Oryzias latipes: one gene and its partners. The protein of the gene in region 2 binds, or shares a complex with, the protein of the main gene of each other region. Links are inferred from orthologs where the notes say so. Each region holds a gene or a part of one and is shown on either strand. Other genes may lie near its edges. The genes, in order: ccnf, e2f1 and ccna2.

Region 1 (5,182 bases), on a different chromosome or scaffold from region 2:
TCAGTATTAGGATTTACAGAGGGATCCATTTGAGCTTACAGCATCTTTACGACTGTGCAGCCACAGCAGGTATGAGCTTTGTAGACAGCCAGCCTGTGACGACTCCTCCAGCATCGATATGGCCTCTGATCTTCTCCCATCATCCTAAAAAAAAGAAGATGAAAATCCCTCAAACGTTATGAAAATCGCCTAAAACATTGTGCTTAAAAATTGATTGGGAAAAACATGCTCGTAAACACAGACAAACAGTGATTCTGTGAATAAGAATCAGTTACATAGAACAGACAAAAACAATGATTTTATCTGTGTGGGCTCCTAACAACTAACCCAACACAGTCCCCCATGACAAACAGCACACATATTCATGACATGCAGACAGAAACTGAACCAACAACGCCCTAAACAACCAGATTTAACCCAGCTTTTTTACTCACCTCAAACAGCAGCAGAACTCTGGCCAAACAGTGCAACAAGGGACCCTTCTTCTCCTGCAGAGGAAGCACAAGAATCAATAATGGAACACATGGAAAGAATGAAAAATCTCCACCAAAAATAGATCGATAAAAGTACTTTGGTGTGTGTAAACGCATTAAAATCGATATGCTAGTAATAGTTTCAGCAGGAACTAGTGTCAGTGTTTTCCAGGAGCAGAAAATAGACCATCAAGGCCATCATTTTTCTGCTAAAATGTAATCTGCTGATAATAAGCACCTAAAACCCAGATTCTACCCTCCACTGACCTTAGACTGATTTTTTCTAAGCATATTGTTGTCTGTCAAATATAGAAGACAAAGCTAAAGATTAAAGAAACACAGATACAGGGCTCCTCAGGATGGACTCGATGGAGCCACAGCAGCAGCAACAACAGCAGCAGCAGCACCTACCATGTTAGTATCGCACTCGGCCTTGAGGTGATCGAACACCACGGCCTTGCAGCAGCTGCCGGTGGGTGACCACGGCGGACGGATGAAAACCCAAGTGAATGGGTCGGCTTTGGGGGAGCGCACGCTTTCCGCCAGGCTAAAGAAGTGGGAGGCCTTTTGACCGCAGACGTCCGCTCGCCCTTCATCACTCAGCAACGCTGAAGAACAAAAGGGAAGACAGTAGAAAAGGTTCATATCAAGACAAACTCATAAGTGTCTTAAGCTATAAAAAAAAAATTTCTGACTTTTTTTAACCATGTGTTTTTGAAATATTCCTGTTAGACGCCAGTCGAGCATCTTAAATATACCGTTCTGAGGTAGATAGTGCTGGAAGACGCACACAAAGGCAAGTTTTATATTTTTTTCTCCTAATGCATACTTCATATACTGCCCACTTGTGGGTAATTAAAAGTTGTTGAGGATGCAGAGGCTGCAAGCAATGTATAATGATGCCTTGAGGATGCGATTGAAGACCCCTTGATAGTGTAAAGCTGTCTTTAGGTGTTTTTGATGTTATGTTGTGTTATTGCTCTTGAGAACGAGAGCATTTTGTCTTTGATTAAAATACATACTGCTCAGGAAATGTAGCCTTTAGTGCACTTACGCCCTTCATTGTATAAATAAGCAATCCCAAGTTTCACAGCAGCCTCGAAATTCCCTTTTTCTGCAGCTCTAGATTGAGAAAAAAAAAATTGCAGTTAAAAACTCGATAAATGACAAGCAGTCAGAACAGTGAATTTCTTTCTTTTTTTGTAAGAGGGAACCATACTTTTCAAATAGCCATAAGGTGTTGGGGGATGGCCATCGGTCTCTGAAACTGACCCTGGCCCACACACTGGAGTGGTTGTCTACAATATCCCGCAGCTGGGAATGAACCTACAACCAAAACAAAATAAGATTAACAAAAGCAGGAACAAAAAGAAACTTTATAGTTTTTAGTCACAAGATGCGCAAAGAACAGTCACTTGAGATTTGACAAAATGCAGCACATATGTTAAAGAACAAACTGCACAATTCAAATGCATACATCATTACTTACTGCTCTAACAGAGAGGAGGTCTTCTGCAGACAGACACTGAAGCACACAGAGAAGAATCTCCTCAGGCAGAGACAGCAGCGTTAGGGACGACGAGCGTTTACGAACCCGCTTCCGCACTGGAACCGAGTAACATTTTGAACAACGGCAGTGGACAACTGTAGACAGAGGAAGGGAGGAAAAAGTCATCAATACATGGATTTGTGGATGCATCTCTAGAGCAGCATCTTTAATGCACGCAGAAATGTACAGAATTTCATTCAAGTGTACAAAAGCACTTCACAGGGTAATGCGAAAAACTCATTCTCACATCTGTGCGAAAATCAATATTTGCACATCATTATAAAGGCATTTTAGAGGCAGTTGCCTCCTCTTGTGTTATTTGGTCAAGATGGTCATAAATAAAATAAAAAAATAATCAAGAATAATCAAATCCTATTTTAAAAAAAAATGTAAAAAAGAAAGAAATAAGATTCTACAGCAAGCCTCGTCTCTACAGCAATAACTTTTTCACTTAGCATAAAGTTTCATAAAATACAGTTAAACACTATTTTGGTCATATTTTTGTAAATAGATGAAAATTAAGGATAAAAAGTTGAAAATATGAAGACCCTTCAAGATAAATGACAGTAAATTCTCAACTCCCTCCATCATGAAGATGACAAACGTTTGACACCCTCGTGTGGCCTTCTCTGCATATTTGAATAAATATGATAAAGATTTAAACAAACACCAACCATTTTATAAGGATTCATTTAAAAAAATGTTGTGTTAAATATACATTGCACCTGAATAATCGCAGAAAAATAGTTTGAAGTAAGTTTCTGAGTTGAAGAAATCGAATCAGATGAGCGCCCAAATTTCCCTCCCGTATTCCGATTGAAGCTTGAGTTCTTTATTTTTAAATCTAGTTTATAGTTATATATATTTAAATACTACTACAACAAACAAGCTAGATTAATTTAAAGGTTATGGACTTTATTTTTGATTTTAGGTTTGTATTAACTTAAATAGAACAAGTTTTGTTAGTACATCGCTTACTTAGTTGCTAAATTTCACTGCACTCTCTGAATACTTACAAATAAAGACAGACTATATATTTACATTCATAAAAGGCAAAATATTTAACTATTGTTTCACGGAAGATATAAATATTAGTAGGAAGAAAGTTTTTAAAATCTACTTACCGCCCGCTTTCATTGCAAGTGGCTCAAGACCGATGTATGGAGATACAACACGGAACAAGTGCGTATAATGAGTGACGACACCACCTAAAACAAGCAAAATTATTTGCTGCTTTTGTCAGAAAACTAAATTAAGAATGATACGATATCTGCTGTCTTTCTATCACCAGCTAACATCCTATAAATTGTTAGCTCCTGCCTGAATTCAAATCCAAGCGTGTCCACATTTGGCCCCGCCCCGAAAGCGGTCTAGGACCGCCCGCGCCCATGGTTTAAACTCATTGTTTAATCTGATTGGTGAAAAGTGGTGACGCCCATCCGTTGCATCAAGACTTTCCGATTGGTCATCCCGCAGAGCGAAGGCTGTGGTTGGCCATACGGTATAAACTGGAAAAGTAGAGAATTCTATTGGATAACGTAATGCCTTTTCGAAGTACGCGCTCGCCCAAAAGCACAAATAATTGGATGACCTGAATATGAAGCTGTCCACAGAGCGACCATTTTGAAGTGAACCATGGGATATGTAGTCACATAAAATAGACAATTTAAAGGTACCGCTTTTAAAGGGACAGCTACAAATTAACCCTCCCCACAGTGGTATAATAGAAGAACTTAAAAAAAAAAAAAACAGCTCCAACTACGTTATTGGTACTCAAACTGTGGAGAATAAGTTTGAACCAAAAGCTCACTGTTAAGTAAATAAGATAAAAAACAACAAATGTACATTTTTCTTTGTTAGTTTTATTTATTTATTTTTATGTTTTGGTATTGTGCAAACCTTTAACTTCTTAACTTTTGATTTAAATTTACAAGCGTTGTTGTTTTCTCTTTACTCTAAATGCAAATTTAAATTTCCTGATATAATTAGCAGTTCTTGAAAAAAATGTAAGGATATATTATTTTTCTGCAGTTTTGAGAGCAAAACATGGATTTACACAAATCTTTATATAATATCCTGGCTTTATTGGATTTTGCCCCTCCTCCCCTAAGGTTCTAGTTTACCATAGTTTAACCTCCATGTACACCTTTGCCCCCATACCCAGGAATCCAGCAATTACATCCTGCCTCATTTGGACCAATCTTTCATACCCAAAAGGGTTTCTAACCCTGACAAGGTTTCTGTTTATACCAGCAAAAGTCCTAACGAGATAACAAAAACGAGTCCCCCCCCTCCAACCCACACAAAAACACATCACTTCACATCTCAGTAACCATGTGACCGACAACACAAATGAATGAATGAAAGCAACAGATTGGTTTGGCCTCTATTGCAGCTGCCTCGGAGAAAACTACATGATTAAGACCTTTTTGTTGCGTCTCTATTGACGATAAATAAACTTCTCTGTTAGCTGAATAGTGTCCTCTTGATTGCTAGTTTTTGGAAGGAGGTTATAAAGGACCAGAGTGCACAGTCAGTCCTTTGTTGCTTTCAAGCCTTCTATTGATCGGTTCATCACCTGTTCACCTAATCTCATCGCTACAAACAAAGCTACTACTCAGTAATTACATTTAAGAGGGCAAAGGCTTTTGGAAGTGTCAAAAAAGGTTCCACGGCAATATTATTTATTTCCCATTTTTATCTTGACTTGCACAATAAAGAAAGTGTATTTCCTCTTAACTCACTATGGGAAATATTCTTTGCTCTATTTAACACTGGAGATGCAGCAAAATCAAATTATCTTGAGTGACCTCAGTCAGGGCAAGGGCTGTGACATCTTCAACTGGATGCACTGTTTCCATAGAAACTCCAACCCATCGCAGCCACTTTCAGGTAAAAAAAACCCCACAAAGTAAATGATAACAAATAGGCAGCATAATGGGGTCTTAAAAATGACATTTTGATTTTCTCCATCAAAAGCATCCAGTTGTAAAATTGTTCCAAAAAAACATGTCGTAGCACATCTGGAAATTAGACTTTTTATTTCTTTATGGTTTTGTTCTCCTAAAACGAATAGACTAAGGACAAAATAAACAGCATATTGGAAATTGAAATGACTGATGCATAATTTGAAGTTGTGTTTTTTCATGTTCAGATACCA
Region 2 (5,037 bases):
CCGGAACCAGCAGAATATGACAGCATGAGGTTCTGCCAGGGGAGGAGAAAACCCCAAAGCTCCTTTTCTTCAATGATCCTTAACTTAATTCAACTCCTGAGAGGTTTCAACGTCTAACCAAATGTTCCTTCAAAAATAATGTTCCCCAACAGAACGGCTGGATAGAGGTCCATCATCCAGCTGCGGTTCCGGTAGCATTTCCTGTTTCCGTGCTCGTCACCTCCCCCATGACCATCAACTCACAGCCACTGGATGTGGTTCTTGGACTTCTTGGAGATGAGCTGGATTCCCTCCAGGACGTTGGTTATGTCGTAGATGCGCCTCTTCTGGACGTCCAGGACCTGCGAGGCCCAGTTCAGATCCACCACGCCATCGGCCGACTGGGACAGCAGGTTGAGGAAGCGCTTGGTGGTCAGGTTCAGGGAGGTGTCGTACCTCGACTTCTCCGCCGTGCTTCGAGGAACTGGAAAAGCAGTGAAAAACACGCCGCCTTAAACCTCCTCCACAAACAAAACACACATCCAGGTGGAAAACAGGTGATCCTCCGACTCCAGCTGTGAAGACGTTCCAGCGGCACAGGCAGGCCTCGTTTGGACCACGCCATCGAAACTTTTATTTTCTTTAAGGTAATATTTATAACCAGCCTTTAAAGAAACTCCAAGCCCCGCCCTCTCTGACGTGGCCACGGGACCTGGATTTCGGAGCCACGGCGGGTCTTTTGGTGGTTTAAAAATAGAAATCCACCGATGAAGATTCTGCTGAAGGAAACATCTTAGAACTGAACGGTCAAATGTGGATTTCAGTGATAAAAAAACAAAAGGAACTGAGGCTCAGCCTTCAGCAGAAATTCTCCTTCAACTTCTCATCCCAACGGCCCCAAACGTCTGCGGACGGAAACGCTTCACGCAGCATGTGGACGCCATGATGTCATGAGTCAGTCTGAGCGTTACGCAATCCAAAAGATGTAAAATGATTGGTGGTCCTGTTCAAAAACACAGGACCTGGACTGCTCTATCCTGCATTAAATTAGGATTTAGATAGTAAAGAATTCATTAAACACAGTTTCTGACTCATGAAAATGTGAAATAGGAGGATTTTATAGTATTTTACGCACCGGGTCCTCCTAAGACCCGGTCCTTTTGAAAAACCGCTGGACCTGGACTCATTTTTATTTAATCATTTTAAAGTTTTTGTGGCTTTCCTGCTCGCAGCGCTCTGTTGTTTGGGATTCTGTTGCCTCCCCTCTTGTGAATTCGTGTCGTCTGCCTGCAATGCAGCTCACCAAACGACGGCAGACTAAAAATAGATCATTTTAAATTGATCAACTACATAAAATCATCCCATTTCAATGTTCATAAATCAGAAGCTGTGTTTAATGAATTCTTTACTATCTAAATCCTAATTTTAATCCAGGTTTGAGCAGCCCAGGTCCTGTGGTTTCTGAAAAGGACCTGGTCTAAGGTGGTCTTAGGGTGAAAAATGCAGTGGAATGTTCCTTTAGTGCCCCCGCTAACCGGACGCCAGCTTCAGCGCCGTGAAAGGATGCCGAGTCGGCGCTCCTGCTCCTGAGCGTGCGGCGTACCTCTGGGAGGAGCAGGAGTAGAAGGAGGTGCTTGGCTGGCGGAGGATCGGGTGGTGCTGACATACTGGTGGTCGCTATCCAGGTCCAGCTTCCTCTTCACCTAATCATCAAATGAAGAGGAATCGATTATGTGAACCCCGGCGTGTGATGATGTGGCGGCGGCGGCCGCCTTGAAGCCACGCCCTCACCGGAGGTCTTCCCAGAGCCGGCCTCCTCCTGTCCTGGCCCCCCGCGTCGGCGTGGCTCTGCGGCGTGGCGAATAGCAGGATTTCCCCCGTGCTGCTGGGGGCGGCCAGCGGGTGGAGTCCCTCATTGCTGGGGCTGGTGATGATGACGATCTGGTGGTCCTGGCTCAGATCGATGCTCCCGGAGTTCAGCAGAGTCTCAAAGTCCTTCAGCAGATCCTCGGATGTCTGACCCGTTATCAGAGTCTCTGACATGGCACTGCCTGCCGCCCAAAGGGCTCCTGCAGCAGACTGGGGGAATGCCAGGGAGGGTGGGGGCACCAACTGGGGTATCAAAACAGGCTCAGCACCAGGTGACCCCAAACATGTTAGGAGGACTTGAGGAGAAAATGCTGATCCATTAACCTCTCCTCCTCCTCCTCCTCCTCCTGCTGAAGGTTGACCTACAGCGAGCCTGAAATCTGCAGATCAACCACAGAGGAGTCGAAGGTTCAAACGTCAAGGCGAGACGTGGAGCCCAAACAGGAAACGACCCGCTGAGCGCATCCTACTTTAGGCTCACGCGCTGCTCGGCTCGCGCGCCGTTTTCAGCGGAAATAAAAGAAGGTCAAAAGACGAAGTAGAAGAAGAAACCCGCCGTAAATTGAGATCATGAGCGAGCTAGCCTGCTAGTCTTTCGTTTTCCTGTCAGAGGCCTCGCCACTCCGTCCTCAAACACAGAGCTACCAAGCTAACGAACTAGCTTACCACAAGAAAAGACTACAACAACTTTGCTAATAAACACGAACAACAGCAGAGGACTACATTTACCACCACTACCTAAAAGTTTATCTCCTTTTCCCTACGATATGGCTTCATTAACGGGTTCGGAAAACTTTATAGACGCTCACAGAACTGGGCTATCTAAGCAATAAAAAAAATACACATTCACTCGGCGGAGGCATCATGATCGCAGATCCACACCATCTTTGAGAAAATAGTTCCCAAAAGAAAGCAACCATCCGTCCGGGCGACGGCGACGACAGAGAGTTTAGCGCGGAAATACGGGGAACTTTAGCATGCTAGCTTCAGGGATTAGCTGCAGTTCTTCGGTCCCCCTCGTACTGTTGGGGCACGCAGGAAGCACTCGGAGAAACGCGGGAGATGCAGACAAAACGGAGGAAATACTCGCTCAAACGTTAAAAAATGTGCCGATGCTCCTTCGTCTGCTCGCCGAAGATCGGGTCCATCTGTAAACGAGCCGCGCCGACCCCATTAGCAGCCGTCATTGTTGTTGTCCCAGCTGATCTATATCTAAACAAGGCTGGACGGTTTTCGCGCGAAATCCTTTTTGCCGCGAAACTGGCACGTGGGGAAAAGCGACCGCTGGGATTGGCCAGTGGGATTCGTTTTGCGCGTGACGCGATTGGTGTCTTCCGATTGGTGGAAATGGCCGTCTGTCACGTTACAGAGCATGGGGAAAACTGGCCTTCCATGTGACCAGGTTGGTGTTCTCTGATTGGCGGAGATGGCCGTCTGTGACTCTCCAGAGCACAGATTTGCTGATTGGGAGGTGCATTCACGTTCCACGGACAAAAGGCTTCTTAACTGCTTTGTTTAGGAAATTTTAAACAAAATAGTAAAACACGTAGTGTCAGTTTCATGTAAGGTTTCCCAAAACTAAAAGATAAACTCCTTTACCATATTAAATATATGATGTAACAGTCTTTGCGTCCCAGCTTAAAAAAGTTACGTTTTTTCAATGTAGTCCCTAGCGCTCCCTCTCCGTTTAAGCAATCAGATTAACAAAAAATAAAGTTAAATCTGATTGCTTAGGAACTTTCTAAACTAGAGTTTTCTGGGGGTCTGAACCAAATGTGATAAGTTTTTTTCTATTTGCAAATATTAATGTAAGCATTTCATTGGGGGGTCTGCACCTAAAGTAACAGACCCTACCAATCGATCACCGATGGTAAACAGGAGCGCTGTAAGATGGCGCAGACAATATTCGAGGCGCTGGAAGGTACAAATATAGTCTTATTTACCGCGCAATTATTAAATATGTTATATGCCAAAGAAAACCACATCATGTAAATTAACTGGAGACTTGTTTGAACACTAAATCACCCTTTAAACGGGTATTATGTAGGCTGTAAGCACCCTGAACTGAAGGGTTCTGCCTGATCTGATGATGATGATTGTAAACAACCTGATTATATTTTAAAGATTAAGACTGTACTGCTATAAACGGCTTTTTTTGTAAATGTAATATTAATTATTTCTGTAATATAATAACTCATCTCGTATGTCAGTGTAAAAGCTGTACATGTGACAATAAAAGCTATTCATTAATATGTGAACATGCACTCCTCGCGTTATTGTTTCTGTCACTTTCATGGAGAAGCAGATCTTCTTCTAACATGTTGTAAAAAGAAAAGCTGTTACTGATGTTAAATCCCTGTTTCCCTCCATCCCCTCAGGCATGGACAACCAGACCGTTCTAGCAGTCCAGTCCCTGCTGGATGGCCAGGGGGGAGTCAATGACCCCAACAACCAGAATGTGTCTGCAGGATCCACCATCCAGTCTATGGGTAAGGAGCATTCTGCACCGAGCTCCACAGGACTGCTACAGATTAAGACAACTAAGCTCAAAGTTGCATTTCCGAGTATTCGTAAAAGATCGCATTTGTGACGTAGAAAATCCGCCGGGCGGGGCCACAGGCTCCCTGCTCCGCCCCATTCTGATGCATCCACTTGCAGACAAATAGGTTGAGGGGCTTTTATCTAGTGTGTAAACAAAGAGCTCTCAGCAACAAGGGGGTTGCTCTGTGCCAACAGTCACGCCCACAGCTCCTGGCGCTCTGCAGAATCTATGTTCTAGAAAACAAACAGTTTTTTTCCAATGTATTTTTGGCTAAAAACGAAAAGAGATCAGGGGATGATTGGAGTGGAACTTAAACCTTCTTCCTCTCAAAAGCCATGTAGATCAGGCATGTCGAAAGTCCGGCCCGTGGGCCAAATTTCCATCAGTCTACAGGCTTCTTTCATCGAAAAAAGGAACGGTTTCTCACCGTGGGCTCTCCCTGCAGAGGACGAGGACGTTTTCCTGTGTGGGAAGTGTAAGAAACAGTTCAATTCCCTGCCGGCCTTCATGACACACAAGCGGGAGCAGTGCCACTCCGGAGCCCCCTCCCTGTCCACGGTGTCCCTGGCCTCCACCAACATCTACGCGCCCGTCCCGTCCATCAGCTCCGTGCAACAAAATCCTGCCAACCGACAGGTGAGAGAGGT
Region 3 (5,122 bases), on a different chromosome or scaffold from region 2:
ACTAAAAGCCATTGATTACACAACTGGATGCACATGGCATAAATGCTGAGACTAGAAATATAAAAATATTAAAACCTCTTTAAGGAAAAAAGAAAAAAGGAGCACCACTCCAAAAAGAGCAGAACATGCCGTCTAAAACTGGTACGTCATTTACAAAAAATGATTAAAAAGACTAACAATACATCAACAACAAGCAGGTCACTTCAGCAGCAGCTTGGAGGGAGCAGCGATCGTGGAGACTTCAGAGTATCTGTGGAGAAAAGACAACGTCAGAGTACGACAGCGTCTCCTGGAGGACTGCCAGCCTTCAGGAATCTGCATTCTGATTACACGACTGAGGATTTTTACAACATTCTCAGCTTAGAGGACAAATGCTACACATTTCTGAAACCATGTTCCTCCCTGCAGTGTCACTGAAGTGAGTAACAGGCCAAGGAGTTTACCATCAACAGTGAAGATGCTGGAGTCTGGAGCCGCCTTTTGTTTCCATGCAACTTTTCAGAATTATCCGATCATCTTAACACCTCTAATCTCGCGGTACAACTAAAGACACATTTTTAGCCATCATTTAATTGAATTTAAGGTTACTTATTGTAAAAAAAAAAAAATGTGGTTGGGAAGTTTTTACTGCTAGTTGAGCTCTCAGAAATTGTCAGATTCCTCTGATACTTTTTTAGAGTAATACAAATATTTTCCAACGATCCTTAAATAGAAGTACACAAAATCAAAGTACGGCAGCTCACCTGGAGGCCTTGTACTTCTCGCGGACAGACTGCTGGGCGTGCTGAGCGGCGCTCAGGAACATCTTGTGAAGGTCTTCGATGCACGGCATCAGGTCTACTAGCATGTAGCCCGTCATCTCTGCCAAGGATTTGGGCTGGAGCAGAGCAGAGAAAATGTCAGTGAACCAATTTTACATTTCCACAACCACCATGAGCCTCAGCCTGGCATGTGACAAACAGCCCCACGTCCCCATAAAGCATCTCAAACCAAAACATTCAAGCGTATAACCCTTCACATTCCTAACTTAAGTTGGAGGGAAATAGTCTCACCCAAGAGCCGCCGGTCACTGCATGGTTGGCGAGGATGTAGGCTGCAGCCGCCGTCTGCGATGGCAGGTACTTCAAGAAGGGGTCTGAATCTATCAAACTCAACTCCCCGAGGTACTGAGGACAGATCAAGCACCGTCAGAGCACATCCATATGCTTCTGTAGACCAACACGACGGACCACATGAACACTCACCATTGCCAAGCTTTCCACCTGTTTGTTGACGCCGTGGTGGCAGAAGTACTGAGTAAGAAACTGGTTTATCGTTGGTGCTGCCAGATCAAATGACAGGACTTTGAGCACCAGATGCTCCATCCTCAACACCTGCTTCTTGGTGTACGTGTCATCTGTGATGTAGACGAACTCTGCCACCTCAGGAGGGTAAATCTCTTCGAATTTCCTGCACATACAAAGTCATTCAACCTTTCCGAACCAAACTAGTCGTGTTTTCCTGGGCAGGATAATTGGCACATACGCAGCCAGCAGCATGGCAGCAGTCCCAACAAGCTGGAGTTTGCCCCTCAGGACGGACATCGACGAGAGGAAGCGATCAATGTAGTTAACGGCCAGATACAGCGTTTCATTGTGGAGCTTGTACTCTTCTCCAACCTCCACCAACCAGTCCACCAGGATGGCCCTCATGCTGTTTGTGATGTCAGGCTGCTTCTTCATGTAGCCGGCCTTCGGTCTGGTTTTCACCTGAAACAAATACCCGATTGTTGTAGCAGAGATGACAGGAGGGGAAGAAAGGAAAAGGAGAGTCTCTCACCTCCATCTCCCTCAGGTACAAATGAATTTCAGCTGCATATTCTGGGACTTCGTTGACATTAACTTGTTTGTCGTCCACCTCCACCAACGACATGTCCATGGGAGAATCTGAAAGTCATTTAGTGCACAGATGATGACACCTCACTTTGACACCAAAGCCAACATCGGTCATTACTAAACAAGCCAAGATTCTACAGCAGCCCACCAAAGCCGGCTTCCACAACCAACGGGACATCGAGGGCAGCCAGGGGCTGTCGGCATGTCAGGGCGTTGTGGACGGCCACAGGAGAGCGAGGGGCCGGGGCCCTGGCTCTGAGGGCCTCAGACACGGTCTTCTTGGTGCAGGCGCCATCAGGCTCATCCATGTGGATCTGGAAGGCCGGCTGCTTGACAGGCGGCTTTTCCAGGACGCTTTTCCCATAATCGTCAGCTTTACAGGATGAGGGTAGAGCAGAGTCCTGGAGGCAACAGAACACAAGAAAGGTGAGTTTCTGCTCTGAAGGCAAACAGCAGCAGATCTGCTTCAGAAGACAGAACAGTCTGTAAGGTAAACTAGGAGGAGTGAGGCTAAAATGGCGCACAGACTGAACATGAAACTACAAAGACCATCTCCAGAAGCAGATCTAAGACAGGTTCAGATGCTAAAGGCGAATGACTGTTATCACGGTGCTAGAACCGAGCCACAGCCGTGAGGAACCGGGAGCACAGCCGGATAACCGGCGGCTGGCGCCCCGCCGCGGAGCGGGCCGTGCGGCGGCATGCTACCTGCTTTGCGCCGCGGAGGCTTTGGGTTTTGTTCCGCTGGTGGTTCTGCAGAGCTCCCAGCACGGTTCTGTTGGCAGCCTGTTTGGGCGGAAGGTTTTCGCTGGCTGCAGGCCGGGCTTTGATGGCGCCTCTCAGCCTGCTGGACGGCATGTTCTCCTGGTTTTGGAGCTCACTCGCCGCGCTTCGGTTTGCCGCCGACATGTTTCCTGCAACAAACACTCGCTGCTGGCTTTGACCTTTGAACTCTTCGGGACCCCTCGTCGTTCGTAGCGGGGATCGGGTCGGGTGCTAGCCTGAAGTGGAGCCGAATAAACTCAAAACTAAACAGTTGAGATGGCAACGAAAAAACAGAACAGCAGCGCCACAGCAGAGGAGCGCGTGAGCGGTAGAGCGATTCCAAAGCGCGGGACACAAACACACTACGGTTCCATAGTCACGCGGGTCCACAGCACAACCGACCAGGACACGAACCACTAGCAAGCAGACATTTAGGAACAGGGTTCTGCTTTCTCTCAGTTCAAGTAGCCCGCGAGGATTGAACCAACCAATCACAAAGCGCACAGATGGTGACGCTGCAAAACTACTGGAGCCGCAGTGGTACAAATGTCTTGATTGCAAATTCAAAACCGGTTGGACCCGTTTGTCTGCAGCGGCACAGAGCAGCAAACGAAAGGAAACGTCCCTGCTCAAGCAGACGGCAGTCAGGACGACGTCCGTGGATTTTAACCGTCTGCAGACTCTTCTGAGCGTGTTTATTTACAAAAACTAAAATAAAACGACACTTTCTGAAGTGTTGTCAGATTTCAAGTGCTTATGAGCTTATTTGACCTGCAGTTAGTAAGGATTCATTTAAAGGAAAAGGTTCTCCAAATATAATACACTGGATTCTCTGTTTAAGGGTTTAATGGCCATTATAATAAAAATAAAGAAGAACAAAGCACGTCACTGAAGATGTGTTCAGTCATGTGTTGTGGGGATTGAACAGGCAATGAAAAACACCACAAAACATTTCTACATAGTTTAATATGGTCTGATCTTTAAAAAATCATATGACATCTTTTGACTATTTCATTTTTAAATAGTTTCTCACAGAGATTTTCATATAGAAATGCAGTCCGTTTAGCTTTGATTTCTGTCTATGAACCTGTGATATGTTATTAAATGAAAAAGAGGAGTCTGTATTAACTACCTGGAGGAATTTATAAAGTCTGGATTTAAGCAGAAATAATTGTGGATTGTGAAACCGACAGCTTCTGAAAACAGCATGGCACCATGACACAAACTATAACTGTCATTACATAAAGATGCAACATAGAAGCAGAACACGTGAATGGATTTTATTTCATCCAACCTCAAACATCATTGAAAAATTCTAACAGAGAGTTTAGATCATAGTTATCCAGAATCTCCAACAGAGATGACACCTTTGTTTTCACATTCTGGCCTTTGAACTTGAATTTATCAATGAAGAGGTCAGTGATCATTCCTGCAGGAAAAACAAATATAAAGAAATAGAAATTAGTGTCAGGAGACCAACAGAAATTAAGATAAATGTGGCTTCTGCAATGTACCATAAAGCCTCTCCAGATGTGCTGGCTGCTTCTTGTATTCCTCCAGAAGACTGGCAGATTCATCCAAGATGCTTCGATACTCTGGTATGAGAAAACTGGCGTTTCCCTCATGAACCTGAAGCTCCTGACAATTCCAGAAGAGATGTGGGTGAAGTGAATGTACAGAACCTCAAGTACATCACCAAACATCAAACCTTCACAGAGAAGAGTCGCTGGTTTCCTGATTTTAATTTCAATTCAGCAGAAAATAGGAATAAGACATCCTTCATTGTAGGAGCTATATATCCCATTGTGATATATTATTTTGCCTATTTCAAATACAATTATATACATTCTTTAAAGTGCATTTCTCGCTTATTTTCCATCTCTCTCTGTTTAAATGAAGCTTCCATCTGTCACTCCATTTCAAAGTGGGCAAACCTACATAATCAGCAAAGGATCAAGTCCGTTTTTCCTCCACTGTAGTTGCAGATGTACTGCAGTTCTCGGCTGTCAGTGACATCTGAAATGAATCTTTCCTTCATGTGTGCAGATGAACACAACAGCCTGCTTACTCTCAGAGCATCAACAAGCTGGACCTTTTTAGCCAACAGCAGCTGGTACTCCAACTTTGGATGAATCATTCTGAGAGTGTGGCTCACCGAGTCATCATTGATATCTGAAAGAGAAATGCATCTTTGAAATTCTTTTCTTGTCTTTACATGCAAACAAAAGCATATGTGAACGCAGAAGTGAGGCACCAACCATAAGAAATGTTGAGATTGATTTTCTTTTTGGTTGCTTCTTTAGAGAGAACATCACTTAGAATAGAAATAGTAGAGATGTTGTCGGACTGGAAGTGACCTTCGCCTTTGCTGAAACAACAAATTATTTACACCACAGATGCTACGTTTAAAGATGAAGCTCAGGAGGAATGTATGTCGCATGTAAAAAAAATCCACATCAAAATATTTGAAGCCGGATTGTAAA

The links.
Region 1: the proteins of e2f1 (region 2) and ccnf are in contact, whole or in part, in a cryo-EM structure (PDB 9CB3), measured with the Homo sapiens proteins. The link is inferred for Oryzias latipes from reciprocal best matches to the Homo sapiens genes E2F1 and CCNF. Residues at the interface, in NP_005216.1 of Homo sapiens: Gly84, Arg85, Pro87, Val88, Lys89, Arg90, Arg91, Leu92, Asp93, Leu94, Glu95, Thr96; in NP_001752.2 of Homo sapiens: Met309, Ile312, Leu313, Asp315, Trp316, Glu319, Val320, Met323, Arg349, Leu352, Gln353, Trp379, Leu380, Thr381, Asp382, Thr384, Asp504, Tyr505, Val508, Leu510, Thr511.
Region 3: the proteins of e2f1 (region 2) and ccna2 are in contact, whole or in part, in a crystal structure (PDB 1H24), measured with the Homo sapiens proteins. The link is inferred for Oryzias latipes from reciprocal best matches to the Homo sapiens genes E2F1 and CCNA2. Residues at the interface, in NP_005216.1 of Homo sapiens: Val88, Lys89, Arg90, Arg91, Leu92, Asp93, Leu94, Glu95; in NP_001228.2 of Homo sapiens: Met210, Ile213, Leu214, Trp217, Glu220, Val221, Glu224, Arg250, Gln254, Tyr280, Ile281, Thr282, Asp283, Thr285.

Annotation. Positions count from the first base shown.
Region 1 is NC_019866.2:11,076,866-11,082,047, forward strand, and holds the start of ccnf (cyclin-F), read right to left. Parts: upstream 3,552-5,182; 5' UTR 3,160-3,551; coding exon 3,147-3,159; intron 2,118-3,146; coding exon 1,963-2,117; intron 1,800-1,962; coding exon 1,693-1,799; intron 1,596-1,692; coding exon 1,528-1,595; intron 1,082-1,527; coding exon 885-1,081; intron 489-884; coding exon 435-488; intron 145-434; coding exon 40-144; intron 1-39. UniProt on the Homo sapiens protein: Substrate recognition component of a SCF (SKP1-CUL1-F-box protein) E3 ubiquitin-protein ligase complex which mediates the ubiquitination and subsequent proteasomal degradation of target proteins.
Region 2 is NC_019865.2:1,999,810-2,004,846, forward strand, and holds the start of e2f1 (transcription factor E2F1), read right to left. Parts: upstream 3,228-5,037; 5' UTR 2,319-3,227; intron 2,229-2,318; 5' UTR 2,023-2,228; coding exon 1,771-2,022; intron 1,683-1,770; coding exon 1,583-1,682; intron 464-1,582; coding exon 244-463; intron 1-243. Other genes in the region: znf341 (zinc finger protein 341), read left to right, coding at 3,739-3,769, 4,227-4,337, 4,836-5,026. UniProt on the Homo sapiens protein: Transcription activator that binds DNA cooperatively with DP proteins through the E2 recognition site, 5'-TTTC[CG]CGC-3' found in the promoter region of a number of genes whose products are involved in cell cycle regulation or in DNA replication.
Region 3 is NC_019868.2:207,046-212,167, reverse strand, and holds the start of ccna2 (cyclin-A2), read right to left. Parts: upstream 3,152-5,122; 5' UTR 2,784-3,151; coding exon 2,583-2,783; intron 2,276-2,582; coding exon 2,023-2,275; intron 1,926-2,022; coding exon 1,819-1,925; intron 1,749-1,818; coding exon 1,525-1,748; intron 1,450-1,524; coding exon 1,245-1,449; intron 1,167-1,244; coding exon 1,053-1,166; intron 878-1,052; coding exon 744-877; intron 251-743; coding exon 199-250; 3' UTR 1-198. Other genes in the region: bbs7 (Bardet-Biedl syndrome 7 protein), read right to left, coding at 3,935-4,068, 4,154-4,277, 4,708-4,811, 4,898-5,007. UniProt on the Homo sapiens protein: Cyclin which controls both the G1/S and the G2/M transition phases of the cell cycle. Functions through the formation of specific serine/threonine protein kinase holoenzyme complexes with the cyclin-dependent protein kinases CDK1 or CDK2.